Linked DNA regions of Oryctolagus cuniculus. The protein of the gene in region 5 purifies or fractionates together with the protein of the main gene of each other region. This does not show direct contact. Links are inferred from orthologs where the notes say so. Each region holds a gene or a part of one and is shown on either strand. Other genes may lie near its edges. The genes, in order: RYBP, CSNK2B, ZNF503, FAM53C, DCAF7, HIPK2 and TROAP.

Region 1 (4,063 bases), on a different chromosome or scaffold from region 5:
ATATATGTACTGGCAGTAACCAAAATGAAACCAATTTGGTCAGGTGAGAGTATTATAAATATAAGTCCTCAGATCTGTGTTCAAATCCTACCCAATAACAGACATCAAAGTTACACAACAACTCTTGAAGATAGTAAGTTAGGTGGATTATCCTATTCGTGAACCCTCCAAAATATTCTTCTTAAAAATCTAATGGTTTAATAATGTTAATTTACTGTCATCTGTGGCTCCGAAAGAAGTTTAAGCATATATGTTATTTTTAAAGTCAAAGCCTTCCCCATGTTTCCAAAAAGTTGATGAGTCAGGTTTTTTAAAAATACATGTAGAAACTGAAACGCATTTCGTTACAATTATTCCCAGCATTAAATCAGATATGAACTCTTGGAATTCGGTTTAAGTTTCTCTTCATCAATAAGGTTTTCAAGTTCTTCTGAGTTTCCTAGTCATTTACTTGAACATCATCTACAGTAACACTCAAAGCAAAACCACAATAAAGAGGTTTGGCCTCTGAGGGATTCTACACGTAAAAAAAAAAAAAAAAAAAACATTACTCATAGATGCTACACAATCATCATTGCTTTAAATAACAAATACATTTCTAAACTTTCATGCCATTCGATGGAATTCCCACTTTTGAAGACAGCAAAACAAAACCTACAAAGCCACGAACACAAAAATTTGACATGCGTTTACTTTAAAAACTACTTATGGGGGAAATATTTGTAGTTCTTGGGTATTTTTATTCAAAGGTCCCATTATTTAGAGTTAGTGGAATTCACAGAACTCTTCTACCAGTAATGAGAGCAATTAATCTCAGAGTTACATTCCTTCAGGTTGCCCAATATCCTATTTAATACCAGATATAAATGAAGCAACGAAACCTTAACAGGATACATTCATTTCGCCAAGAGAACAATGTTCAGCTGGACATGCAGGGTACTACTACACAGTCACAGAGGAATGCCACCAATTCAAGCCCAGAAGACCTGTGGAAGGAGACTAGGAGACTCAAAGAAATCAATTCTTAGTCCCCAAGAACTTCTATTCACCAAGCACTCACTCTCACTCTCGCACCTTCAATGTCAGTCCATCAAATGCGACCAACAGTTTAACTTCAACTCTAACACTACTGAAACAAATTCCAGATAGAAGTTAAAAGATGACCAACAGACCACAAAGCCAGTCTTGACATTCTCTCCAAGTGTATCTAAATGTCCAATCTAAAGTTGCTGAACTCGTTTTGATAACACCTGCAGTTTACCACCTCATCGAAATGGAAAGGAATTCTTTCAACATTCTTTATTATAATGAAGGTTTAAACACAGACTTCAACAGTCACTCTTCACCATTCTGCAAAATCGGTGTAAGCTCATCAAAAACAAATAAACAGTCTCAAAACAACCACCACCACGGGGGGAAAAAAACTGAACAGCTCAGCCAAAAAAAAAGAAAAAAATGCACTTTCCTTATCAAACCCCAACAGTCATTTTCAAGTGCAAGAAAGTAACAGACATTTGCAGCTCCCTACCAGAAAAGCTCAATCAGCCTTATTGTACTACCACCACCACCAAACTGCTCAGAGAAAAATAACTTAGGGCAAGCAAAGCAAAGCCACTCCGCACATGGCAAAAATAAATAAAAAGGTTCCTGTCCCAAATCCGCAGCCATGGTGCCGCTCTCTCCTCTCCTTCCAAGCCAATGGACACAAGTGTCAAATAGATGCAGGCTGTGTGAAGTTAAGCTGGGAAAAACTCCCTCCCATAAATCATTCGGGCAACACGAGGCAATGCACCCACACGAAATACACGGAACCCACACCACCGCATCAGCCACCCCCAAAGGCAACGAAGGCCGCAATCAACAAGTTGGAAAGAGGGCAGCAAAGTCCGGCTCAGGACCCTGTCCCCGCACCGCGGGCCGAGTCCGTCAACAAAGGTAACACAGAGCGGCAGGTACCTGGTGGAGGTGCCTTTCCTCACGTCGCAGATGCTGCATTTGAAGGCTTCAGCGCTGTTTCGGAAGGTGCAGACGCTACAATCCCAAAAGCCCTCATCGGCGGCAGGTTTCGCTTGTCTTTTCGGCCTTCGGAGGAGTCGGGAGCCGGGGGAAGGGGAGGGAAGAGACCGAGAGCAGGGAAAAAGAGGGAGAGACAGCAAAAACACAGGCGCTGTGAGCCGCCGTAATTTCGCAGGAATCCGGCGCTGGAAACTTCGCCCGCGCGACCACCCACCCACCCCCCTTCCCGGGAACTGGAAGGGCGAGCGAGTGAGCGAGCGAGCGAGCAGGCTGGCGGGCACGGGAACCGGGCGGGCACGGGAACCGGGCGCCCCCGCCGGCCGCGGCGGCCGCGGGCCGGGCCGGATCGCCTCGCGCTCGCCAGGCGGCGGCGGCGCCCCGGGAAGGGCCGCGGCGGGCGCAGGAAGCGGGCGGACTTGTGGACCCGAGCGCGGGGCTGGGGGGGCCGCGAGGGGAGCCGCGGGCCGGATCTGGAGGGGGCGCGCAGGGGCAGCCCGAGGCCGGCGGCGGGGAGTGGGCCGGCTCCTTCCCGCTCCCCTCCCCTGCTCGCGCCCTCCCTCCCTCCCCACCTGGTTAAATCTCCCTTTGTCTGGGAGGAGCGGCGGCGGCGGCGGCGGCGGCGGCGGCGGCGGCGGCTGAGGAGGGCGGCTGAGGAGGAGCCGCCATGGCTGCGGCGCGCACGGCCGCCGGCCCCGGGCAGGAGCGACACCGCCTCCCGCCGCCGCCGCCCGCCGCTGCCGCCGCCGCCTCCCCGCCCCCGGATCTCCATCTTAGCAGCGCCTCCCCCCGCCCGGTGGCTCCGGGGCCTAGTCGTCGCCGGCCCCCGCCCGCCCCCAGCCCGCCCTCCCCTTCCGCCCCTCGGCTCCGAGCAGGTACCTGGTCGGGCTCTTCTTGTCGCCCATGGTCATGGATGGGCTGTACCCCCGCCCCCCCCAAGCCGAAACCCGCGCCGCTCGGAGGAGAAACGCCGTCCGGGGAGTCGTCGCGGAACGGCCCCCCTCCCTCCCCCGCGCCCGCCCTCCCTCAGCCGCTGGGGCTCGAGCTCCGGCCGCTGCCGCCGCCGCCGCCGCCGCCGCCAGTCTCCGGACGAGACTAGTCCCCGCCAGCGCCGCCTCCGCCGAGTGACTGACGAGGGGCGGGGCCGGGCGCCGCGCGTCACGCGCCTGGCGGCCAATGGCAGGGCGGCGGCCGGGGCCGCGAGGGCGGGGGCGGGGCGCGGGGGAGGGCGGGGCGTGGCGGACGTGGGCCGGGCCGTCGGTGTGCGTGCCCGGGAGTGTGTGCGCGCTGGGGGCGCGCGTGCCTGCCGCTGGCCCCGCGGCCCGGCGCGGCGGAGCGTGCGAGCTCGGCGGGGCGCACGTGGCCGCGCCCGGGCGCCGGCAACGGGCTTCGGGGCCCCGCGCGGCCGCCCGGTGCGGCTGTCGCGCGGCCCTGGGCCCCGCAGCCGCTCCGGGGAAGTAGTTCCAGGCAGTTTGCGCGCGCGGTGGGGGTTGGCCACAGCCGCGCCGCCCGCAGCGCCTCGAGGCTTGCTGCGCCCCGGGAGACCGCGGGGCTTCGCTGAGCCCGCGGGCCCCCCCTGCGCCCTTGTGTTCCTCTGCCACGCGGAGCTTTGTAGCTGCCTCTCCGGGAGTCCCTGCCCCCCCCCCCACGCCGAGACGCTAGCCCGCAGCCCTCCGGGGCCCCCGCTGCGGGAGGGAACTCTGCAGAAAGGGTGTGGCGTAATTCACTGCCCGGGGCTGGCCGCGGAGCTCTGACTTCTCGGACCCCCGGGCGCCTAAATAAGGCGTTTCCCTAGGGAAGTTGCTATTGAAATCGTGGCGACCTCAGGCCAGCCTTCTAACCTTGTGTCTCCAAAATGAGGCTAATAACCCTTCTCCTTAGAGACAGATGCGTGGAAAGCGCGCAGTGAGATCCTGGCACTTGGGCAGGCACTGGGTAGGGAGCGGGTATGGCTAGGCCCTGGCTGTGCTTCCCCGCGCTGGGAGATGTTTGAAGAACAGGTAGTACCCATCAGTTTCTGCCCCACTTCCAAGAATGCTTGCCAAATTGA
Region 2 (3,931 bases), on a different chromosome or scaffold from region 5:
GATTCTGAGTCTTTCCTTTGACACATGGTGACTCTGTCTGCTCCCCACCTGGGCACAAACTGGTTGGCGGGTCGCTTGGGCCGGTACTCGGGATGCACCATGAAGAGCATGTGAGGGAAACCAGTGCCGAAGTAGGCACCATCCGTGTGATGGTGCCTCGATGACTTGGGTGTGTACACGTCCATGCACTTGGGGCAGTAGAGCTTCACCATGGCCTCACCTGGGATGTCCGACAGGCCTGGGAGACAGCCAGACTCAGCAGGCCAGGCACCCGCGACACTGCCGAGTCCCCTGCCCCAGAACTCAGCTCCCGCCTTGCTGAGCCCAACTCCTTCCCAGAGGACTGCCAGATGGTGCCCCCTCTCCCTTCTTCAATACTCACCGATAGGAAGCATTGGCTGGTTCTCACAGTATACACGGGGACAGTAGCCAAAGTCTCCCTGCTGGTACTTTTCCAACTGAAGGGAAAAAAATGGAAGGGATTGGTGGGTGGGTATGAGGATAAGCAGCGACCCCCACATAACTCTGTCCTCCACATTTCCTCCCTCTTCTTGGAGGTCCTTGTGCAGATCAAAGGGGCCCACCAACTTTCCCCCCAGTTAGGGAGGCTAATGACATCCAGGGCCATTTGCCGTCTGTTCTCTGAGGAAGAAGCAGTCCACAACTCTGACCAAGCTCACATCGCCCTCCCTGAAGACACCCCCTCAGCAGGACGTCCAGGGAGGACTCAGTTTCCCGGCCCAAACTCTGGGTTTTTCTCATCTCAGCTCGACTCCTTGACAGGGCTGCCAGATTACTGCTCACTGTAGGAACCTGTTTCCCTTACTGCCTCACAAGGAGTCACGCAGGCGCAGAGAGGCCTCACCATCTGGGCGATGCCTCGGTTGGTGAGGATGTAGCGGGCATGGATCAATCCGTAAAGCATCTCGGCCGCCTGCTCAATCAGGTCGCTCTGGTTGGGGTTGTCTTCCAGCTCTTCGTCTGAAATATGGGCCAGCCACATGCAACCACTGGCGTTCCAGCTTTCCCAGGTGCCCCGCCCACCCCCAGGGCTGTTGGCTGCCCAGTTTGCCCAGCACCCATCCTTGAGCTTCACCCAGTCCTCACGTGGGCATTTAACCTGGGTCTCTGCCCCTTCCACCAACCCAAGGAAGCCCAGCCTTCTCTCCACACCTCTTCAGCCTCTGCTCTCTTCTCTCCCTCCCAACTCCTTCCTTAGTACGTAAATACAAAGATGTCAACACAGAAGGTGGAACTCTAGACTGGAGGGTGCAAGGCAGGCAAAGAGGCAGTAAACAAGACCCGCGAGGAAACTCGCATAAGGAGGAGCGCTGAGCTACAAATTCAGAAAGTATGGCAGCAAGTGCTATCAGTCACAAAACTAGGCAAGAATTCAAGGAGGGGGGCAAAAATGCTGCTGGGACTTTGAGGTTAAGGGTGTCAGAGAACCAAAAGGAAGTTTAGAAATTCAAGAGGTAAATTCAAGAGGTAATTTGAAGAGAAAAACAGCCCCCCCACCATGAACCTTGAGGGTGTCTCACCAGGTTCCAGGTCCAAGATCATGTCTAGAGCTTGTCGATAGTGAGGCACCTGCTCATTGAGGCCGGTAAGGTTAAATTTGTCCTGGATGTAGTCTTCATCCACCTGGTAGAACACGGAGGTCAAGAGGAAAACTCCTACTGGGACCCCCAGCTTCTGAGCTGGCCAAGGTCACCTAACGAACGCCTTGTCGGCCACACGGCTGCGTCTGGTCTGCCTGTTTCCTACTCCAACTCAGCGTCAGTACTTCAGCCGCTGTCCCGAGTTCACACGCACGCCCTCCCCCCCGTGAAAGCTCCAGCTTCTCTCCTCCAAGGACAAGCAAGCACAGCAGTCTCCTTAGAGACACACTCGACTCCCGCGTCTCTAGTCCTGTTCCTCATCTCTAGGAACCAGTTCTGTCCTCTCCTGAGGGAACAGCTGCTCTCTGAGGAAGGTGGAGGCTGAACAGCTTGGTTTCTGAAGGTGGTTAGAATTCCTTATGTCAACACAGAGCTTTGCATGTTACAGAACATTTTAAGGTGCAGTATTCCAATTCTCCTAACAGCCCCCAGAGATAAGCACTACCAGTAGCATTCTAGTAATGAAAAAGCAAAGGAGAAAGGACACTTGGCACGGTGGTTCCTACATGGTTAGAGATAACCCACATCCCAAACTGGAATGCTCAGGTTCAAGTCCCAACTCCACTTCCAATTCCAGCTTCTTGCTAACACACACCCTGGAAGGTAGCAGGGTGATGGCACAAGTACTTGAGTCCCTGCCACCCACATGGGAAACCCAGGTAAGTTTTGGGATCTTTACTTCAGCCTGGCTGGTAGCAGTAGCTGTTGTAGAAATTTGGGACATAAACCAGTAGACAGAAGATCCTTCACTTTCTCTGTTGCTCTACCTTCAGATACTTTAAGTACAATAAAAAAATTAAAAAAGAAAAAGAAAAAAAAAAGATGGTCTGACTAGTTCAATGTTATCCTCCTGGGGGTGCGGTGGGGTGTGTGACAGAAATGGGACTTGGGCCCCAGTCTTGCCACATCGCCGCTGATTAGTGGGGGGTTACTGAGGGGACCCCTTCTTTCACGGGAAGGAGTTTCCACGGGATAAAGTGTGCAAAAGCTGAAGATACCCAACCTGAACGCATGGAACCAGCGAGTAGGAAGAACGAAAAGCACTCACTTCACAGAAGAATTCATTGCCACGGAGCCCACAAAACCAGGAAATCCAGGACACTTCCTCCGAGCTGCTCATCTTCACGTCAGCTGGAAACAGGAGTCAAGTCCAAGCTCTCCCTCCCCGGCTCTGGCACCTTCCCTCCTCCCACACTCTGTCTTTCAGCCATGGAAGAATTTGGGGCCACCCTTTTTTTTTTTTTTTTTTTTAAAGGATCCCAGCCTTTGGGACAGGCTTCTCTAGCTCTTGTTATTTACACCTCGGCCCCTTTTCTCTGAATGAACTTAGAAATTCCTTGGCAGGAGCCCACAAGTACCGACCCAGCAGTCCCTACCTACATCCCCCGCGCCCCCGATGGCCAGACCCCTCTCGCCTGTGTCAACTCTGGCAGAGTCCTCGGCTCGGGCTCCCTACCACCGCAGGGCTCCGGCACCCTTCCCCAAGAATTAGAAGTTTATCTTTGCCAAGCAACGACCGACACCTCCTTTTCTCACGACCCGGGGCGAGGGGCGGGCACCGCCAGGTACTCTTTCACGGAGTCCCCACAGCCTGCCTCCCGCTCTCCGGCCACCCTTCCCTCCCACGGTTACGGACCGGGTCACTTCCTTCCTCGCCCCCACCTCAAGGCGGGGAGACCCCATGTGCCGCTCCTAGGGACCGGGAACTCCGCGGGGCAACCACTTCACACTCACCAGCTGGACGGGGAGCGGGACCGGGGTGGGGGAGGGGAACAGCTGCTTCCAAAGAACGACGGCGACCGCTACAGCGAAGGCCGCGGACCCGACCGCGGCAGGCGAAGTCGGGTGGGGGGAGTGGAAATCGGGGAGGGTGGGGAAGAGGGCAACGCGCAAGCGCCGAGGGGCGAGAGCCGCGGTGGACGCTGGGAGATGGAGTCCGCTAGGGCGAGAGACCGGCGAAGCGAGGGAAAAGCGAACTACGAATCCCAGGACAGCTCACTCACGACCCTCGTGTCGCGAGGCCCCCGAGGACGCGGCTCGGGGGCGGGGCACAGCGAGGCGCCACCGGAAGCGGAAGCCAAGTAAGGCGTTCGGGGCCAGGAGCCTGGGAAATAGAGTCGTATGCTCACTGGACTGAGGGGCCAAGAGGGGGCGGGGGAAGAAGCGAGGCGAGTCGGGTCGCAGACGTTGCCCTCGGGGACCCTCAGTGAGCCCTGGCCAACCCTCCTAGTTCTTATCAAGTCGGGCACGGCCTTGCACAGGAGAGCCCC
Region 3 (4,199 bases), on a different chromosome or scaffold from region 5:
GCCGGCTCGGCGTTCCCACACCTTGGAGCGAGGAGCTCCGAGGAAACCGGTCTCCTGGCACGCCGGGAGGGCGCAGGGCGCGGGATGCGCGGGCAGGCGGTTGCGGCGGGGGGCACGAGTGAACCTGACACGAGCCTCGCCCACGCACCCGCGGCCGGGCCTCCTCTCCGCAGCCTCGCAACCCTGGCCACGATTCCCGGGGGCCCGAAGAGTTGGGGGGACCCGCTCTTCCAGCCACCCCCACCCCCAGGCCCCGAGGATTTGTTGATGGCGTGGAAAGAAGTCTGGGAGGGGGCGCCGGGGCACTGCGGGGCGAGCGACGCAGCCGCAGCCTCACCGCCCCACGCGGGGCGGGAACTGTCCCGTGCGAGACGCCGCCGGTGCCCAGCCCGCCCCCTACAAACTCTAGGGCCCAAGCCCCCTAGGTGCGAGGGTCCCCCACCACCGGGAGAGGTGTCGCGCGCCCTCCTGGCGCCCCGGGCGCACCTGCGCACTCCACTCCTCGCCTTCCCCACCCCGGCGGGCCCCTCTTTTTCTTTTCTCAGCCCCCACCCCAATCCCTAGAGGCCGCTCCTCTCGCCCCCTCCTCCAGTCCCCTCCCGGTCTCTTCCTTCCTCTCTCTCTCTCTTCTCCCTCTTTTTCCCTGCAAGTCGCACCCGCCTTGTAATCAGCAACAAAAGCTGACATAAATCACGGGCGGATTGACAAGAGCTGACAAATAACTGATTGATTGCGGTCGAGGCACATTGACAATTGATGGAGGGGTGGAGATGCCCAGAGAAGGCGCGGGGCGGGGGGAGGGCGGCAGGGGAGAGTAAGAATGGGGGCGGGGGGACAGACTGAGTGTGAAACAGAGGAAGCACGTGACCTCGCCCCTGCCCCAATCGGCGGGTCCCTGGGTGTCACGTGGCTGCGGAGGGCGGGGAGCCGGGCGCCCGTCGCTGGGATGAGCAGCCACCGCTTCCGCGGCCTGAGTGACTTCTGGTTTCTCCACCGCCGAGTCTCGGGAAACCAGAGCGGGCGGGCGAACTCGCTCGCGCCCGGGCTCCTTCCCCGGGTGGCCGCGCCGCGCGCGATCTCGGTTCCACCAGGTGTGCGGGCCCCGTGCGCGCCGCCGGGCGCCGACGATCTGGCTGGTGTCCACACGCCTGCCGGATCCCTTCCTGGCTACGCCCGCAGACTGGTCCTCATCGCCGCTGCTTGCTTCCAAGAGAAGGTTTCGGTTAATTTTCCGAGCCGAGGAAAGGACAGACGACGAGGAGGGCAAAAAAAAAAGAGGGAGGCGGCAGATGGCAAACGTAGAATACACGTCCATCTCGTCCTCGGAGTGAAAACGAGGGAGGGGACACGCAGAGGAGGGCGGCGAAGAGGGAGCTGCCCATTAAAACCAGCTCGGAGAGTCCTGGCGGCGGCGGCGGCGGCGGCGCGGGACGCGTCACATCCCCTTGACCCTCCAATCACCTCGGGCTCCCATTTGATTGGAAGGCGGCAAAGGCTTTAATCTCCCCCTCGGTGCAGCTGCTTTTGAAGTGAGTTTCCTCGCCAGAGCCCCGGCTGGACAGGCAGCGGCTCACATCGCTGAGCGCAGCGCCGGCGCAGGGGCGCAGCCCGAGGCGGACCCGCAGCCCAGCCGGCTCCGCGGTGGGCCGCCCGGGACCCGTGGCTCGTGGCGCCCGGCGCGCCGGCTCCTCCTGCGGCTGCGGTTCCTGATCCCCGGGCGAGCGCGCAGCCCCGGGCCCTCCCCCCGCTGCTCCCATGCGCGCGGGTGGGTCATGAGCACAGCGCCCTCGCTTTCTGCCCTAAGAAGCAGTAAGCCCAGCGGCGGCGGCGGCGGCGGCGGAGGCGCAGACCCTGCCTGGACCAGCGCGCTCTCTGGAAATAGCTCCGGCCCCGGCCCAGGCTCGTCCCCGGCCGGCCCCACCAAGCCTTTTGTGCACGCCGTGCCCCCTTCCGACCCTCTGCGCCAGGCTAACCGCCTGCCCATCAAGGTGCTGAAGATGCTGACGGCAAGGACTGGCCACATTTTGCACCCTGAGTACCTGCAGCCCCTGCCCTCCACGCCCGTCAGCCCCATCGAGGTAAGGAACCCCCCACCCCCACCCTCTCCGGTCGCGGGGGGGGACCACTCCCCAGGCTGCCGCCCTGCAGGGTTTCCTTTCTCGGGACCTGAGGGTGGGGGTGGGGTCCGTGGTGATTCAGCTCCGGGGAGAGGGGAAGACGGCGCTTCTGCGCCTCCAAACTGGGGCGGAAAAGGAGCAGGAGGCGGGACCCTGGGTTCCAGGCGAAGGCTAGGGGACAGGGCGGCCAAAACTTGCTGCTGCTTTCGGTGTGAAAGACCCGACCGCGACCCAGGCCCCTACCCTCTGCGCTGCTGGCCGGCGGGCGTCTGGAATCCGGTGGCAGAGTAGCCGCGCCAGGGTCCTCTGGAGCTGGCGCGTGCACAGCCTCCGAGGCTCCAGCCGCCCGTGCCCTCGCTCTGAGGAATCCAAAGGTGCGCGCGCAGAGGGGTATCGTCCTGGGTCCAGCCTTTCACCCCGAAACCTTATGCGAGTGTTTTTTGAAAACCCAATTCGCATCAGGAGAGGGCAGGACAGCTTCTGCCCGGAGGTGGGAGTCCGCCGCCTGTCCCTAGGGCAAGGATGTTGGTGGGTGTGGGGGTGCCGCCCGGCTCCGCACCTCGTCGCTGGGGGGAATCTGCGCGGGCAGCATGGGGGGGGGGGCTGGACCCCAGAGGCCAGGATTCTAAAGGTTTCCCCCTTCTTTCTCCGTGTGATCCGTTCCCCGTCTGACTCTGCAGCTGGATGCCAAGAAGAGCCCGCTGGCGCTGCTGGCGCAAACCTGCTCGCAGATTGGGAAGCCCGACCCCTCGCCCTCGTCCAAACTCTCCTCGGTCGCCTCCAACGGGGGCGGCGCGGGCGGTGCTGGCGGCGGCGCCGGCGGCGACAAGGACGCCAAGTCGGGCCCCCTCAAGCTGAGTGACATCGGCGTGGAAGACAAGTCGAGTTTCAAACCGTACTCCAAACCCGGCTCGGATAAGAAGGAGCCGGGAGGCGGCGGCGGCGGCGGGGGTGGTGGTGGTGGTGGCGGCGGCGGCGGCGGCGGGGGCACTTCGGCGGAGAAGTCGGGATTCCGGGTCCCGAGCGCCACCTGCCAGCCGTTCACGCCCAGGACAGGCAGCCCGAGCTCCAGCGCCTCGGCCTGCTCGCCGGGAGGCTTGTTGCCCTCGGCCGGGGGCGGTCCGGATGGCAAAGACGACAAGAAAGACCCGGACGCGAGTGGCGGCGGCGGCGGCAAGGGCGCTGGGGGCGCAGCGGCCGAAGGGGGACCCGCGGGGCTGGCGCACGGCCGGATTAGCTGCGGCGGCGGGGTTAACGTGGACGTGAACCAGCACGCAGACGGCGGTCCCGGGGCCAAGGCCCTGGGCGCGGACTGCAGCGGCTCGTCGGGCTCCGGCTCAGGCTCCGGCCCCGGTGCGCCCGCCTCCTCCTCGGTGCTGGGCTCTGGGCTGGTGGCGCCAGTGTCGCCCTACAAGCCGGGCCAGACAGTGTTTCCTCTGCCTCCTGCTGGCATGACCTACCCGGGCAGCCTGGCCGGGGCCTATGCCGGCTACCCGCCTCAGTTCCTGCCTCACGGCGTGGCGCTCGACCCCACCAAGCCCGGCAGCCTGGTGGGCGCACAGCTGGCGGCGGCCGCGGCCGGCTCGCTGGGCTGCAGCAAGCCGGCTGGCTCAAGCCCGTTGGCTGGAGCGTCGCCGCCGTCCGTGATGACAGCCAGCTTGTGCCGGGACCCGTACTGCCTCAGCTACCACTGCGCCAGCCACCTGGCCGGGGCGGCAGCCGCCAGCGCCTCGTGCGCACACGACCCTGCGGCGGCGGCCGCGGCGCTCAAGTCCGGATACCCGCTGGTGTACCCCACGCACCCGCTGCACGGTGTGCACTCCTCGCTAACGGCCGCCGCTGCCGCGGGCGCCACACCACCCTCACTGGCCGGCCACCCCCTCTACCCCTATGGCTTCATGCTGCCCAACGACCCGCTCCCGCACATCTGCAACTGGGTGTCGGCCAACGGGCCGTGCGACAAGCGCTTCGCCACATCGGAAGAGCTGCTGAGCCACTTGCGGACCCACACGGCCTTCCCCGGGACAGACAAACTGTTGTCGGGCTACCCCAGCTCGTCGTCCCTGGCCAGCGCCGCCGCGG
Region 4 (3,500 bases), on a different chromosome or scaffold from region 5:
ACGCTGCCCCTTGCTCCCGGCCCCAGCCCTGGCTTCTGAAAAGCAGCCCTATGCTCTCCTTCGTTGACCTTTCCCTTCTCATGTGTCAACAGCACCAAACATGAGTTAGGGCTGCCAGGAAGTAAGAGGTAATCAAGCAGGTAAGAGATCACTTTTATTCCTAAGGAGGGCAAACAAGGTAGGGGAGGCCTCTGACAGTGGAACCGGGGCTTGGGAGGCCTTAATACTTCATGTTGTTCACACTCCTTTCTGTCTGGCCAGCCACATACTCTGGTTCCCTTTTCCTAGGCCTTCTCTCATATCCAAATGGATGGAGGGACCAAGGGGAGAAGGGGATATGACGAAAGATATGATTCTAACTTACTGCATTCCAACCAAAATGGTGACTTTTGTCATATAGCTCATTAAGGGACAAACAGCCTGCTCCAAAGTCCCCTGGCTAGCTGGCTAGAATTCTGCATGGGCTGGATATTTGGAGCAAACAACAAGTTTATATACTCAGACTTGATCATGGCAAAACTCGTACCTGATTCTACTTGGTCAACAGTTCTTCCCCCTAACTGGTGGCCCAACATCTGGCTCTCAGCTCGTATTTAATAAATAGGAGGAAGAGACTGCATGAAGATCCTTTTGCCAACCAACTCCCTTTGCCAGGTATCTAAGAAAAGGCAACAAGATGTAGAACAGCCCAGCAGCACAGGTTAGAAAGTTCTGGTTGTCTACTAGTGATGCCTTTATCTAAATATTCTCACAATCAGAGACCCTTTGATTATCTCATAACTAGGAATTTGTACCTCAGATAGATGCTCACATGTTAAAAATGACCTATGCCGCCGCGGCTCAATAGGCTAATCCTCCACCTAGCGGCACAGGCACACCGGATTCTAGTCCTGGTCGGGGCGCCAGATTCTGTCCCGGTTGCCCCTCTTCCAGGCCAGCTCTCTGCTGTGGCCCGGGAAGGCAGTGGAGGATGGCCCAAGTGCTAGGGCCCTGCACCCCATGGGAGACCAGGAGAAGCACCTGGCTCCTGCCTTCAGATCAGCGCGGTACGCCGGCCGCAGTGCGCCAGCTGTGGCGGCCATTGGAGGGTGAACCAACGGCAAAAAGGAAGACCTTTCTCTCTGTCTCTCTCTCTCACTATCCACTCTGCCTGTCAAAAAAAAAAAAAAAAAAAAAAGATTAAAAAAAAAATGACCTATGCATGAGTTCTGTGTGTCATACCAAAAGATGGTAAATAACCTAAAGGTACATCAATAGGAGGCTGGTTAAATTATGGTATATCCAGGCAAGGTAATTATATGCAGTTACATAAAACAAGGAACTGTTCAGCACACTGACAGACTCCTGGGTATATTGTAGTGAAGACAAAAACAACAACAAAAAAACCAGATTGCTATATAGTATGCAACCCTTTGCATAGAAAAAAAGTGGTGATAAGTATACATACTTTTATTAACTTGTATTTGTATAAGGGAATTCCAGGGATGGGTGTTTGGTGCAGTAGTTACACTGCTGCTTGGGGTGCCCATATCCCATAACAGAGTACCTGGTTTGAGTCCTGGGTCCTTTGCTTCCAATCCAACTTCCTGTTAATACACACCCTGGGAGGCAGCAGGTGATGGCTCAGATACCTGAGTGCCTGCGACCCACATGGGAGATCTGGATTGGGTTTAGGGCTCCTGCCTATTGTGGGCATCTGGGGACTAAATCAGCATATGGAACTTCTCACTGTCTCTGTCTCTGTCTCTCTGCCTTTCAAATAAAATGAAAATAAATAACTTACAAATTATATCAGATTTTTAAAAGAATCTATTTAGTAAGGCAGAAAGAGAGAGACAGACAGATACAGAAAGATCTTCCAACCACTGGCTTACTTCCCAAATGGCCACAGCAGCCAGGGCTGAGGCAAGCTGAGGCCAGGAGCCAGGAACTTAATCCAGGTCTCCACCTGAATGGCAAGGACCCAAGAACTTGAGCTATCACCTGCTGCCTCTCAGGGTGCACATTAGAAGGCAGAGCCAGGACTTGAACCAGGCACTCTGATACAAGATGTGGGTATTCCAGTGTGGCTGCACCACCCACCCACCCCTAAGTAGATAAATTAAAAAAAATTCTAACAAAAAGAAAAATTCTAGTGGAATATACAAGAAACTAGTAATAGGAATCTCTTTTAGGGAGGTGGCAGGAGCTGAGTGGGTAGGGGATAGCAGAGGGAGGAAGGGAGACTTTCCTCAGAATACCTTTTCTGTTATTTTTAAATCTACAAACCATGTGAATATACAAGCTAGCCAAAAAAATTGATTATAACAGTCCCCACAAGGCTAGAATCAAAGCAAACTGAATAGGTAAACCTTATGCTGGGTCAGTAAAATGGAGACAAGTGCCAATCTCAGAAGGTGACCCTGAAACAAAGTTCTAGAGGTAGGCTAGGTAACCCTGGTCACTGGAAACCAATGAAAGAAATGTGTGCACAGAGGCGTGAGCAAGCAAACACACACACACACACACACACACAGTGCCTTACCAGACACAAGCTGGAAAGGGTTCCCACAGTTGGAGATGTCTGCATGATCAGGCAAAGGCTGAGAGAGAGAGAACATGGATCATGACGCGGGTTCAGAACACACTGAGTCTAGGAAGCCCTCTTCAGTTCTCCCCTGCGATAATCGGGCTAGCAGAATGTTAGGGACTCCTAAGTGTGTTCTTCCTCTCGTCTTCCCAAAGTTAGTGAGTAAAATAATTCACATCCATCAACACCTCAAACCCTTCTCCACCCATGTTTGGGGTCCCTTCTCTAGTGGTGGAAAAATCCCTGCCCCCTTCCTTTTGAGCTGGGTTTTGAGCCCTTGGTGGGCTCTTCCAGTACAAACACCATGATTCATACAACACAGGACGAGGGTAAAGTAATAGCAACAAACAGCCTCAGAAAAAAGGGGGAGGGGGTCGTGGAGAAGCAGGAAGACTGGTCTTTTACCAGACTGATGCTGAAGCGTGTGCATTTCAGCTCATCCAGAGTCTGCTTCTGTAGCTGCTCAGTGATCAGGGTTATCATGATTCTCCCCAGGATCTGACTTGCACACTTTGGAGCAAATGATGGATGTCTTCCCTGTTGTTCTTCCAGAGACCTCACTCGTGAGCCGTCTTCTGCCACTGCAGCACCATTCTAGCACCATTGGGACTTCCCTCGCCAGTCATGCCTGCTGAGTCTGCCAATTACAGAGGGACCAGCCCCAAGCGATATTAGAGATGTACCTGGTCCAGAGATGGAAAACGCATGGCACACATACCACAGCACCCCTTACGCCAGGCCTCTGGCAGACATCTTTAACTGGTCACAGCTCTTTCCTGTTAAGCCTAAACACAGCCTCAGAAACATTCTGAACTTAGCACTCCAGCTATCCAGTCAAGTAAACTGGAGTTGATGAGCAAGTTGAAACCTATTTGCACTCCTAACCTGGTTCAAGCGCTGCTGCTTCTCCTAGAGTTCCAGTGCCACTTAA
Region 5 (4,276 bases):
TCAGTCTGTCTCTCTCAGAAATGAGAGCCACAGCTTGCCCACTGACCCTGAAAGAACTTGCAAAATTACATCACTTTATGTGGATTCAAGTTGTTTGAAAGACGTATCTTACTTTTTATTTTTTCATGTGTATTTTGAAAGAGTAGTTCTTGTGGTCTTAATTTTACTAATATGATGTCGACATCAGGACCTTGAACTCCACTTGCTGTTTTGCCTTCTCTACAAGCCACAGGGGAGAAAGAGGCACCAGAGGAAAAGAAACAAAGCTGTGTCTTGCAGCCGGCGCTGTGTACAGCAGGTTAAGCCAATGCCTGTGATGTTGGCATCCAGTATAAATACCTGTTCAAGTCCCACTTTTTTTTTTTTTTTTTTGACAGAGTGGACAGTGAGAGAGAGAGAGAGAGACAGAGAGAAAGGTCTTCCTTTGCCATTGGTTCACCCTCCAATGGCCGCCGCGGCCGGTGCACTGCACTGATCCGATGGCAGGAGCCAGGTGCTTCTCCTGGTCTCCCATGGGGTGCAGGGCCCAAGCACTTGGGCCATCCTCCACTGCACTCCCTGGCCACAGCAGAGAGCTGGCCTGGAAGAGGGGCAACCGGGACAGAATCCGGCGCCCCGACCGGGACTAGAACCCGGTGTGCCGGCGCCGCAAGGCGGAGGATTAGCCTAGTGAGCTGCGGCGCCGGCGTTCAAGTCCCACTTCTGACCCAGTTCTCTGCTAATGCACCCAGGAAAGCAGCACAAGATGGCCCAAGTACTTGGGCCCCCGACACCCTGTGGGAGACCCAGATGGGGTTCCAGGCCTCCAGCTTCCACTTGGCCCAGCCCCAGCTGTTGTAGCCATTTGAGGAGTGAACCAACCGCTGATGGAAGCTCTCCCTCTCCTCTGTCTTTCCCTCTCTCTGAAATTCTGCCTTTCCAATAAATAAAATTTTTTAAAGCTACGTCTTGCACAGTCAGTGGTAAATTTAAAAGATCAGTGCATACTCACTAGGATTTGTTTGTAAATCGTGTATGAGTATGTCTGGCAATGCAAGCCCGTGGCTCGCGTCAGTTTCCCAAAGGGGATCCTAAAGAAGTTAAGACCTACTGCAGAGAGAAACAAATGTGCTCCTGAAAAACTGTGAACACTGAAGATGTTCGAATGCTGTGGGGCAGGTGCTGCGGTGCAGTGGCACGCAGCGGAGTCCAGTTCCCATGCCAGCTACTCTGCTTCAGATCTAGGTCCCTGCTATTGCACCTGAGAAGGAGCAGACGATGGCCCAAGTCCTTGGGTCCCTGTCACCTATGTGCAAGATCTGGGTGGAGGCTTCCGTCTGGCCCAGCCTTGGCTGTTGGCAAGCGTTTGGGGAATGAACCAGTCAGTGGAAGATCTCTATCTCACCCTCTCTCTGTAACTGCCTTTCAAGTAAGGAAATAAATAAATCTTTTTTTAAAAGCTCAGATTTTATTTTTTACAGATCTTCATGTGTAAAGCAGCACCCCTTTCCTATAGCAAACTGTGGGTCAGAAATGACCGGGGGTGTGACGCCTCAAAGCCAGTGGGTGAACCAGACGGAACTCAATCCTTTCTTCCCCTGCACCAGGCCTGCCAACGGCCACAGCTTTATTCTTCAATCTGATATGCATGGAGGAACAGGAAAGCCTCTAAACACCACCAGCTGAACCTTACAGGTGCTCTGTTCACGGTTATTCACAACTGTTGCTCCAACACAAGAAAAACAAGATACAGAAGAAAACTCCTCCCACTGACTTAGCTAATTACTCTCAAAAATAAATGCACGCTGCTGCACTGCAGGTGCAGAAGCATCCCCTAGCAACAGAGTTTCCATGAAGGATTCTCAAACTGGTGGTCGTCCGGTCAGCTCCGCTACCTGAGGTTACAAACGGCAGGACTATTAGCACATAAGAAGCCAAGAAAACAATGGCGGGATGATGCTGCAGGCCAAGATGTCCAGAAACAAACAGGTTGTTTCGGAGAGGGCAGGTCGCGGGAGGCCACAGCGAAGGCCTTGGAAACCAGGCAGCAGGGATGCAGATCCAAGGGACGCGCCGAGTGCGACTAGGGGGCGGGGAAACCCTCAGCAAGCCAGGGACGCCGCGACCACCACTTGGGGAGCCTCATCGCTCCCTGTTCCCTCCCCGCCTCCCAGCCGAGGCAATGCGGCAGGAGTGGAGGGCCTGGGAGCGGACACCTGGCGCAGCTCCAGAACGTCAGCTCGGCTCTGAGACCTGTTACCACCACGAAATACCCGTCTGCCTCGGGAAAGTCACACGCGCTGCCTCCGTCTCCCCTCCACGCTCCCGACCACGCAGGATTACGTGGGACCACGAGAGCGGAACCGCCAGCACAGGGCCAGACCCGGGGCCCGCTCCCCGCCGGCTGGGCTCCGAGCCCCTGCCCGGCCCACCTTGTTGTTGTACTCCTCCACGAAGCTGCCCAGCGCCAGGCGAAAGCGCTTGTCTGGCCGCACACTCCAGTTCATGGCGTAGACGGTCCAGGGCGCTTCATACTTGTAGATCTCCTTCCGTTTGCCGTGCAGGGACATGGTGGCGGCGGGGCCGCACTGCGGGCCGGGGCTGCAGCGGGGAGTGAAGAGCGGGGCGCGGATTCGGGCGGGGAGCCGGGCCTGGGACGGAGGGGTCTCAAGGGAGGCGGGGCGGGGGCGGGCAGGAACTGCCTAGCCCGGAAGCGGGGCCGCGGCGACAAACAACGACAACAGGGCCCGACCCCCAGTTTCAAACAAGCTTCGGCACCGACAACAACCACCTTCCGTTTGGGATGTCGCCCCGCCTCCTCGGAACGGAAGCCACGCGACCGCCCCCCACCCGCTCCCCCTGGAGCGGCGTCGGCCGTTGGCTGCTTGACACGTCCTTTCGAAATGGTTCCTTCTCCTCATTGGTTATTACGACCGCGGCGTCTGAAATCTCCTCGCTATTGGTGCAAGTATTTATCATTCCAAGTAGTTGCCCCGCCCAATTCCTGGAGGCAGGCGCTTTCGCAGTCCCGAAGGTCATTGGCTAGCCAAGATGTCAGTCACCCAGATAACGGCGCAGTGCGGGTGAATAGGGGCGTGGGTGGCCCAGAGGCGACCTGCAAGTTCTAGGCCAAGTGGCTGAGAGTGAAACCTCTGTGCGACCTGCCCTGACTTCACCGTTGCTGCTGCTAGACTGAGCGGCCTCCCTAGGCTGTTGAGTAAAATTTAAATTCTGTCTTAATGGAGGACTACCGCATTTTACAGTACTGAGTCCAAGGCCTGACCTCTTGGCCCGCCGCACTTATCCCTCAAAGCCTTTTTAGCGGGAGAGTTGTGCTTCCAGTGCTCCAAGGGCAGGCCTCAGACACGCAGCAGGTGTGCGCAGGGCCAAGCCAGCTTGAGTCAGGCCTTACAGCGCCTTCCTGCAGATTCTAGAAATGTTCCCATGTCTTGGGTTGGTCTTTATTGGGCACCGAGCCCACCAGCCTTGCTCTTAATTTTTATTTTTTAAAGGTTGATTTATTTGTATGAAAGGCAGAGTTAGAGAGAAGAGACAGATCTTCTCTTGGCTGGTTCAGGCCCCAGATGGCCCCAAGGGCCAGCGCTGGGCCAGGTGGAAGCCAGCTGGGAGCTTCGTATGGTCTCCCAAACACCTGGACCATCTTCCGCTGCCTTCTCTGGCACATTAGCAGGGAGCTAGACTGGAACTGAAGCAGCAGGACATGACCCATGCCTATATGGGATGCTGCCTCCGCAGGTGGGGCCTTTATGCTGGCCCCACTTAATACTACTTACAGTGCCTTATTAAAGTTACAATTCTTTTTAAAATTTCAGTTTAATATACGTGTGTTGCAAACATGATAGGGTTATCAAAATTTTTTAAGCATCAAAATAAATTACATGTAGGTTAAAACTAGAGTGGAAGGGATAATTAGACTTATGAAAACCTGTTCTTATGTTTTTAAAGTGGATGATGATGGCTCTAAAATCTATGTTACCTGGATAAATATGGATAAATATACATGAGATGAAAAAATTCTATATAGTGTCAATATTTATAATGCACTGGACATTGATTCCTTTGCAACTATTTAAACTTATCAATGAAATATTTCAGATGTCCACTTAAAAATGGAGGAGAGATAAATTTCCCAGAATTCTTTTAGAGAGTTCTGGAGCACAAAGTACCGAGACTGAAGGTCAGTGAGTTGGTATCCTGGAGATAACAGCCCCTTCAGCAGAATGGTTAACTGCACAAACTCTCACGCCAGACTGCCTGCGCTGAAATTATGTCCTTT
Region 6 (3,500 bases), on a different chromosome or scaffold from region 5:
GCTCCTGCCATGTGACCACTGCTCTTCCCAGCAGGCGGGGGAAGCTGGGAGGAGACTTGCGACAGCGCTGTGGGCAGTCAGGGGGCCAGGAATGGGTGAGGATCAGCTGTGTCGACGCAGCTGTAGCACATTCTCCAGCTTTTTCTCCATGGCCTTGAAGCCCCCGGGCAGAGGGTCTCAGGCAGCAGTCTTAGGGACCTCTTCCATGTCATCGGGCTGTCTTCTCGCAGGAGTCTGTCATTTCTTACCACTTGCCTGGTCCCTGCGCCCTCAAGGACAACCCATCACTATTGCCCCAAACCACCTCTCTCTCTGTCTTCAGCCAGCTCCTCCCTGTGCCCCTCTCGGGCTGGCTGCTGCTTGCAGCACCTACGATGTGTTAACCACGGCGAGCGATCAGCCCAGCAAGCGCAGAGGCCGGCTTCTCCCAGGTCATGGGTTAGGAGATGAATGTCTAGGGAAATGAGGCAACTGGCCCAAGCCACACAGCTTTTGAGCGGAGGAATCAGGTCCAACCCTGGGTCCTCCTGACTCGGAAGGCAGCAGAGAGCAGCTCTCAGCCTGACTGGCCCTGGGGCCCAGGAAAGCTGGTAGAGGTCATTCAGCCGGCCCGTGGGTTCTGTCTGCGGAGGGCACTTTGGAAGCGCCCCAGGAGTCTTGCAGGTGCAGCCAGGGCTGAGAATCAGTATGCAGGAGACTCCAGGACGGTGAGTGCCTCGTCCACGACCCTGCACTTAGCACGGCGCCGGGTTGGAAGTAAATGCTTGTTGAATGACTGACTGTACGGAGGAATGGTTGCCTAATTCACACTTCCCAGAGGCTCCACAATTCTCCCCTCGCCCAGACCCGAGGCTTGCTCACCACAGGAGTGAGCAGCCGGCTCCCTGACTTCTCTCTTCCTCAGCCTCCTCCACACGGGAGGTGAGAGGAGCAGCCTTCCCAGCCTTCACCTTTGGCTGTTCAAATCTCAGGACACAGTTGCCAAGCTTTAGCCTGCTACTCAAGACCCCCAGCAACCTGGTCCCACTCTGTGCTGGCTCGCAACCACACCTCCCTCAGAACTCTGCCGGCAGGTGGCTGACCTGTCTCGCACATTCCTACGGCAGGATTTTGGACAGCACGGCCCGCCCTCTTCTCCACCGTGAGGACCCAGTTCCTCCACCTTGTCTGGACCTTCATTCCAGCTCCCACGGATCCCTTCCAGCTCTGAACAACTAGACTAAGCCTCCTCCTTGGCTCTGCTCTTACCTGGCTCCTCACCGTCATGTCAATGTGCGCCAATAGGACCATAATTTCCCAGCTGCATTAAGATCACTGGCGGGCAGCAACTGTTCACACGCGCTCCTATCTCGCCCTGGGTGACGGCCACCACCGGGCCCCTCACGGCCCCTGTCATCTTGGTGCGGTCTTACCTGTAATACCGGGACTGCAGGTAGGTGGAGCACACGGCCTTGGACACGTGACTGGCTGACCCAAAGTCGATGACCTTCACCCTGTACGGCTGCCTGGACGGATCCACCAGCATGATGTTCTCCGGTTTGAGGTCAGCGTGGATGAGCCCGAGGCTCTTGAGCTTCATCAGGGCCGTGGCTACCTGCTGGAGGACCGGGCGGATGTATTTCAGGGGCAAGGGGCTGAACTTGTTCTGCTTCAGAAAGTCATAGAGGTTCTGCTCCAGCATCTCGAAGACCAAGCAGGTGTGATTCTTGTGCTGGAAGCACTCGTAGGCCCGCACGAAGTTGTAGTCGTCGGCACTCTCTGTGCTCAGCCGGGCCAGGATGCTCACTTCAATCTGGCCCTGTCGGGCATAGGACGGGTGGTTCTTGAGGATCTTGATGGCTACGATTTCATTGGTGCCCCGCTTCCAGCACTTGACCACTTGCCCGAACGTCCCTCGGCCCAGGAACTCCAACACCTCGTAAGTGTTGGTCATGGAGCACAGCACTTCATGCTGGACCAGCTGGTAGTCACCCTCGCTGTTGGAGCCGCTGTTCTTGGAGGTGGCAGTGGACGTGGTGGCAGTGGCGACCGTGGCCCCGCTGGCATTATTCTGAATCATGGGTGGATGCTCTTCGATGATCTGCACGCTGCTCGTGTTCTCGATCTCCTCGCTCTTACGCTTGAGTCCGCATTTCTGGTAGGTGTCAAGGAGGCTGACGGTGCTGCGCCGCATCAGGTTATGTGGTCCGCCGAGGACGGGCCCAGGGACAGACGTGCTGCTTGCGGACGTGACCACTATGTGCCCGGTGCTTCCTGGGAAGATGATGGTCTGCTCGTAAGGTAGGCTGGGGTTTGGGATTGGCAAGGAGGTGCTGACGGTTGTGGTGGCTGGCTGAGAAGGTGCTGTGTTCTTGCTCTGGCTGTACACTCTGCTGTGGGAGCCGTACCCAGTCATGTCCCAGCTGGAACTCGGCTCTACTTTGAGTTTCTTCACACTACAGAAGGCACTTGATTGGAGGGTGTGAGGGGAGAAAACTTGCACATGTGAGGCCATACCTGTGAGGAGAGAAGAGGAGAAATAAATTCTGAGCCACCTCTGCATGAATAAACCCCAGAGATCCGCTGCAGCTCTGAGATGGCCTGGAGTCAACAGCATTTCCCTCCCACTTCAAAATAAGGCCGGGAACAGGAATCTACTGCACTCAGAAGCGGACCTGTTACTCAGTGTGTGGGTCACCCTGCCACCAGCAGGGGGAAGGAGGCTTGGAACACAGAATGAGAACAGGGACTCCACTCATCTTTTTAAATATCAATAGTGTTTGTGAAAGAAACTGCTATCAGGTGGCCCCTGGTTAACTGTTACAAGCTTAGCTACTCCATGTGGTCAGCCAGCTCAGTTCTGTCAACAGGCCCCAGCGGTCAGGTGGCCCCGTGGGGGGCTCCTCTGGTCTTCTGGCTGAACAAGTGCTGCCTGGCATCTGAGCCGTCTTAACCAAATTCTGCAGGGCTCTATCACAGTTGTTCCCAGAGCAACTGTCCAGCTTAGCAGTTGACGCCCGCGTCCCCAACCTGGGTTCAACACCCACCTGCAGCTTCCAACTTCAGCTCCCTGTTGGTGCACCCCCCAGGGGGCGGTGGTTCTGGCCCACCCACGTAAGGGACCTGACCTGAGTTCCTGGCTCCCGGGTTTGGCCTGGCCCAGCCCTGATGGTTCCAGGCATCTGGGGAGTGAACCATCAGACTGGAGCTTCCTTTCTCTCTCTCTGCCTCTCAAGTTTAAAAAAAGAAAAATTATAAATAAAAGAGTCTGACATTTTCATTTAGATTGACTAAAACATGATTATCAGCCTCTTCGCCGGGGAGTGGGAAGCACAGATTATGGACTCGATTCACTCATTTTCCATGCTAAATTCTTACATCGATAAATTTTTCTAGAAAGTACTACTATTTCATATTAGCACTTTGCCCACAATTTAGCTAACTTCAGAAATTTGTAAGATGATTGCTTGGGAAGAGTTGTACAATTTATAATCACGGCGATACCGGAAACATAAAAACCC
Region 7 (3,500 bases), on a different chromosome or scaffold from region 5:
GGCACTGATCTGATGGTGATTCGAGTATATCCCTATCTGTAACCTCTCACCCCCAGGCCCCAGACACCTGGAAAAGAGAGGTCAGCCCCACTCTGGTGAGGGCTGGGGTCCATCTGGGGCAAACCCTGACCCAATAACACCCCAAGGCCCCGAATGCCAGGTTCTACCCACAATCCTCAGTGCTGACTGCTACAGGATCCCCCAGGCCACTCCTCTACCTGCACCTACTGTTCCAAGAGGGTCCCACCTCACCTTGGTGTGTGTGATCTCTTGGATTTCTCTTAGTGGTATTCGCTGAGCCAGACCAAGAGGGCCCCCTCCTCCTTCATCTGAGTGAGAGACAACCTCCTGCTCTCCCTCAGGGAGAGAGGAAGCTGGGAGAAGGCAGGAAATTGGCTGCAGTACCTAAAAAGCCCTCCAAAGACTGGCACAGGGTTTTGGCAACCTTTGAAGAGGGTAAACTAGTTGGATTTTAAAATTTTTTTCTTCTGTGTTTGGAAGGCACACAGACAAAGAGATAGACAGATAGACCTTCCACCTACTGGTTCACTCTCCAAGTGTCTGTAGTAGCTGGGGCAGGGCCAGGCTGAAGCCAGGAGCAGAGAATACAATCCAGGTCTCCCACAGAGGTGGCAGGGACCCAAATACTTGAGCCGTCACCGTCACCTGCTACCTCCTAGGGGACCATTAGCAGGAAGTTGGATCAGATCGGAGCCACGGTTTGAGTCTTGGCTGCTTTGTGCTTCTGATCTGGCTTCCTGCTAATGCGCTTAGGAAGGTAGTGGGTGCTGGCCCAAGTACTTGGGCCCCTGCCATCCATATAGGAGACGTGGATGGAGTTCTTGGCTCCTGAGTTTGGCCTGGCCCAGTTCTGGAGACTGTGGCCATTTTGGGAGTGAACCAATGGATAGAAGATTTTCCCTCTGTCTCTTGCACTCCAGTTTGAGATCTGGGTATCCTGCAGTGCTATACCAAACACTTACCCTGAACATAAACCGCTTAATACCCCCTTCTACATTAATACAGCAAGGACTCATACAGAGGCCAACACTATCTCAGTAAAGCCTTATTTATCTGAACACCCCGAGGGGGCTGAGGGTGTGGTGATGGCTCTTAGGGACTGGGATTGGACACTGAGTAAAGGCAAATCTTGCAAAATGGAAGGGAAAGGGCAGAAGCCAGGACTATCTCCTTTGACGCAAGTGCAATAGGCCAACTGCTAGTTTCTTCCTAGCCTCTCATCTCCCCACTCCTCAGGGGTGTCCCCCCGACCCCGCCCTCTCACAACCTGCTGAGCTTTCTCCTCTCTCCTTCCCACTGCCGGCAGCCCACCTGCCCCTGGTCTCTCCCCCATAGCCAGACACACTCACCAGGCTGGACTGGGGTCTCCAGGAGCAATCCCGAGGCCTGGCTCACTGTAGTCCTGATGACAACAAGGACAGCAGCCAGGAGGCACTGAGTAGCAAGTGCGACCTGGCCATTGCTAAGTGCTTTACACACATCACAGCATTTCATTCTGACAGCAACTTCCAGTATCGCCACAAACACTATCCTCGCTTGGTAAACACCAAAACCAATGCTCAGAGAGCCTAAGGCAAGCTTGCAGGGCTGAGTGAGTGAGAGTCAGGAATTAAACCCAAATGCCATCGGTTGCCACTGTCTGTGCTCTGGCCGCTAAGCCAGTCAGCAACTTACACTTCTGTCTCTTCTTCCCCTCTCATATCCCAAGGACACGTCATAGCAAGCCAACCCCCTATTCCAAAGACTCCCCTGGGCAACCACAGGCTTCCCCCCAGCACCTGCAGAGGGTGCTCTGAGAGCTCCTGGAAGGCCTGAGCTCTGCAGGACCCCTCTCCAGGACAGGGGTTCATTCTTCTCCAAACACACTCTCCTTCTCACCGGCTGCTGCCACCTGTCCCTCTTCTTAGCTCCTGGAAACGGGGGCGGGCAGAGGAGTGCAAGGAGCTTCCTGCAGGTGGAATCTATTGCGTAGGAGCAGGAGATGGAAGCCAGGTCACAGGTGGGCCCAAACCTTCAAGCCCCACTCCCCAGCCTGGCTCCTCCCTCAGGGCCCATTGGCTCACCCTGAGTCAGTGCCTCTCCCAAGCCCAGCTCTCACATCTGCTTCTCAAGGGCACTCACCGTAGCCTCTAGCCTCTGGGGATGCTCACTCCGGCCTCGGGGTCCTGGTCCCTCCAACCTTGAGAAACAGGAAGCCCTGGCGGGGTCTAGTTGCTGGATGGGGGTTCTGGGAGCCAAATATGCAGAGGCCCGAGCACCCTGGGAGCCCCAACAGAGGCTCTCAGCACAGGCTCGGATCTCTCCTTGGCCCACCCCAACCTCATCTCCTCACATCCGGTCTCATTACCTGGCCCCTCCGGGTAGAGATTCCCTGGTTCCCTCGAATCAGTACTCTCTGAGCCAGACTGGACTGGCGCCCCAGACAATAACTCTTCACTCCCTCACCTGATAGGATGGTGGCCAGGGCTACGGGGTCAGCCACAAACTCTATGGCTCCCGGAGCCTCTGCAAGGGAAGAGAATGAAATGTGAGGGGGAAGAGGCAGGGGGAAGGCTGGGGGACCAGGGACCCTGGGTAGTCATCTTGTGCTGTAGGAGTGAGCAGAAGCGATTCATTCCATGGAACTCAGCTCAGAACTTTAAGAAAGCCCCCAAGCCCCACTGTGCCCTTCCCATTCCTCCACTCAGCCAGGGAGGCCGTGTTCCCAGGATTCCAATAGGTACCTGTCCGGGGAGGGGGTCCAGGCCCCACGTTTTCTCTCCCAGAGTTAGGCCTGAGCTCCTCCAAGGTGATCCAGAAGGGAGAGACCCCCTCCGATCCTTGTGATCTCTCTGTCGGCTGCGTGCCCTTCAACTTGGAGCCTGCCGCATCAACAAGGGGGCCTTGAATACCGAGCGGAGGCCTTTGCACCAATCCCTGGGGGCGGGGGGAGAAGAGGGGACAAGAAGCGTTGGGGTGCACTGCAGGTGTGCGCCGCCTCCCTGTCAGTCATCGTCACCCACCAGGACCCCTCTTACCCTCGGATCTTGGTTCTCTTGGTCCGGGGCGCACGATCTGACGGTAGGGAAAGGTGGGCGTCGCTGAGAGCGCACGGGAATCTTGCTAGGGGTGGGAGACACACCCCGGGGGAAGGTTTCCTTGGCGGCCTGGAGGGTGCTCATGGTGGCTACAACGTGAGGCTGGAAGAAGGCAGGCAGAGTCGGGGTCAAAGGTCAACCAGTGCTCAGGGCACCGGTCCTGACTTCCCTAATAACTTCCACCCCCACCCAAACCCAGGCGCCCAGAAGCAAGGCCGCTCCTCTGGGTGCCACCCCCAGACATGTCGAACCTTACTCTTTAGTCCCTGAACCCGGACCTGCTCTCCTCCCTGTGAACCCCCACAGCCCTCATTCCCTTCAAGATCCCCGTGCCGCCCCTTGCCGGGACCCGTCAGGGTCCCCCCACCACCACTTTTCACCTTTTCCCTGATTCCCGGCTCC

The links.
Region 1: the proteins of DCAF7 (region 5) and RYBP purify together in Homo sapiens (affinity purification with mass spectrometry; 3 studies listed by BioGRID and IntAct, counting the BioPlex papers as one, with this or other methods). This does not show direct contact. The link is inferred for Oryctolagus cuniculus from reciprocal best matches to the Homo sapiens genes DCAF7 and YAF2.
Region 2: the proteins of DCAF7 (region 5) and CSNK2B purify together in Homo sapiens (affinity purification with mass spectrometry; 4 studies listed by BioGRID and IntAct, with this or other methods). This does not show direct contact. The link is inferred for Oryctolagus cuniculus from reciprocal best matches to the Homo sapiens genes DCAF7 and CSNK2B.
Region 3: the proteins of DCAF7 (region 5) and ZNF503 purify together in Homo sapiens (affinity purification with mass spectrometry; 4 studies listed by BioGRID and IntAct, counting the BioPlex papers as one, with this or other methods). This does not show direct contact. The link is inferred for Oryctolagus cuniculus from reciprocal best matches to the Homo sapiens genes DCAF7 and ZNF503.
Region 4: the proteins of DCAF7 (region 5) and FAM53C purify together in Homo sapiens (affinity purification with mass spectrometry; 3 studies listed by BioGRID and IntAct, counting the BioPlex papers as one, with this or other methods). This does not show direct contact. The link is inferred for Oryctolagus cuniculus from reciprocal best matches to the Homo sapiens genes DCAF7 and FAM53C.
Region 6: the proteins of DCAF7 (region 5) and HIPK2 purify together in Homo sapiens (affinity purification with western blotting; 3 studies listed by BioGRID and IntAct, with this or other methods). This does not show direct contact. The link is inferred for Oryctolagus cuniculus from reciprocal best matches to the Homo sapiens genes DCAF7 and HIPK2.
Region 7: the proteins of DCAF7 (region 5) and TROAP purify together in Homo sapiens (affinity purification with mass spectrometry; 3 studies listed by BioGRID and IntAct, counting the BioPlex papers as one, with this or other methods). This does not show direct contact. The link is inferred for Oryctolagus cuniculus from reciprocal best matches to the Homo sapiens genes DCAF7 and TROAP.

Annotation. Positions count from the first base shown.
Region 1 is NC_091441.1:76,787,019-76,791,081, reverse strand, and holds the start of RYBP (RING1 and YY1-binding protein), read right to left. Parts: upstream 2,801-4,063; 5' UTR 2,786-2,800; coding exon 2,586-2,785; intron 2,083-2,585; coding exon 1,957-2,082; intron 1-1,956. UniProt on the Homo sapiens protein: Binds to MYC and inhibits MYC-mediated transactivation. Also binds to MYCN and enhances MYCN-dependent transcriptional activation. Increases calpain 2-mediated proteolysis of YY1 in vitro.
Region 2 is NC_091436.1:138,947,093-138,951,023, forward strand, and holds the start of CSNK2B (casein kinase II subunit beta), read right to left. Parts: upstream 2,801-3,931; 5' UTR 2,782-2,800; coding exon 2,710-2,781; intron 1,645-2,709; coding exon 1,542-1,644; intron 982-1,541; coding exon 866-981; intron 459-865; coding exon 383-458; intron 239-382; coding exon 49-238; intron 1-48. UniProt on the Homo sapiens protein: Regulatory subunit of casein kinase II/CK2.
Region 3 is NC_091446.1:66,425,254-66,429,452, reverse strand, and holds the start of ZNF503 (zinc finger protein 503), read left to right. Parts: upstream 1-1,399; 5' UTR 1,400-1,772; coding exon 1,773-2,078; intron 2,079-2,797; coding exon 2,798-4,199. Other genes in the region: translation initiation factor IF-2, read right to left, coding at 1-421, 746-1,315. UniProt on the Homo sapiens protein: May function as a transcriptional repressor.
Region 4 is NC_091437.1:26,138,827-26,142,326, reverse strand, and holds part of FAM53C (protein FAM53C), read right to left. Parts: intron 3,207-3,500; 5' UTR 3,053-3,206; coding exon 2,975-3,052; intron 2,583-2,974; coding exon 2,525-2,582; intron 659-2,524; exon of another isoform or gene 576-658; coding exon of another isoform or gene 527-575; intron 1-526.
Region 5 is NC_091448.1:15,152,663-15,156,938, forward strand, and holds the start of DCAF7 (DDB1- and CUL4-associated factor 7), read right to left. Parts: upstream 2,801-4,276; 5' UTR 2,550-2,800; coding exon 2,412-2,549; intron 1-2,411. UniProt on the Homo sapiens protein: Involved in craniofacial development. Acts upstream of the EDN1 pathway and is required for formation of the upper jaw equivalent, the palatoquadrate. The activity required for EDN1 pathway function differs between the first and second arches.
Region 6 is NC_091434.1:184,334,268-184,337,767, reverse strand, and holds part of HIPK2 (homeodomain-interacting protein kinase 2), read right to left. Parts: intron 2,497-3,500; coding exon 1,413-2,496; intron 1-1,412.
Region 7 is NC_091442.1:52,742,683-52,746,182, reverse strand, and holds part of TROAP (tastin), read right to left. Parts: 5' UTR 3,479-3,500; intron 3,201-3,478; 5' UTR 3,183-3,200; coding exon 3,039-3,182; intron 2,938-3,038; coding exon 2,745-2,937; intron 2,527-2,744; coding exon 2,369-2,526; intron 2,281-2,368; coding exon 2,143-2,280; intron 1,983-2,142; coding exon 1,900-1,982; intron 1,424-1,899; coding exon 1,371-1,423; intron 375-1,370; coding exon 253-374; intron 1-252. UniProt on the Homo sapiens protein: Could be involved with bystin and trophinin in a cell adhesion molecule complex that mediates an initial attachment of the blastocyst to uterine epithelial cells at the time of the embryo implantation.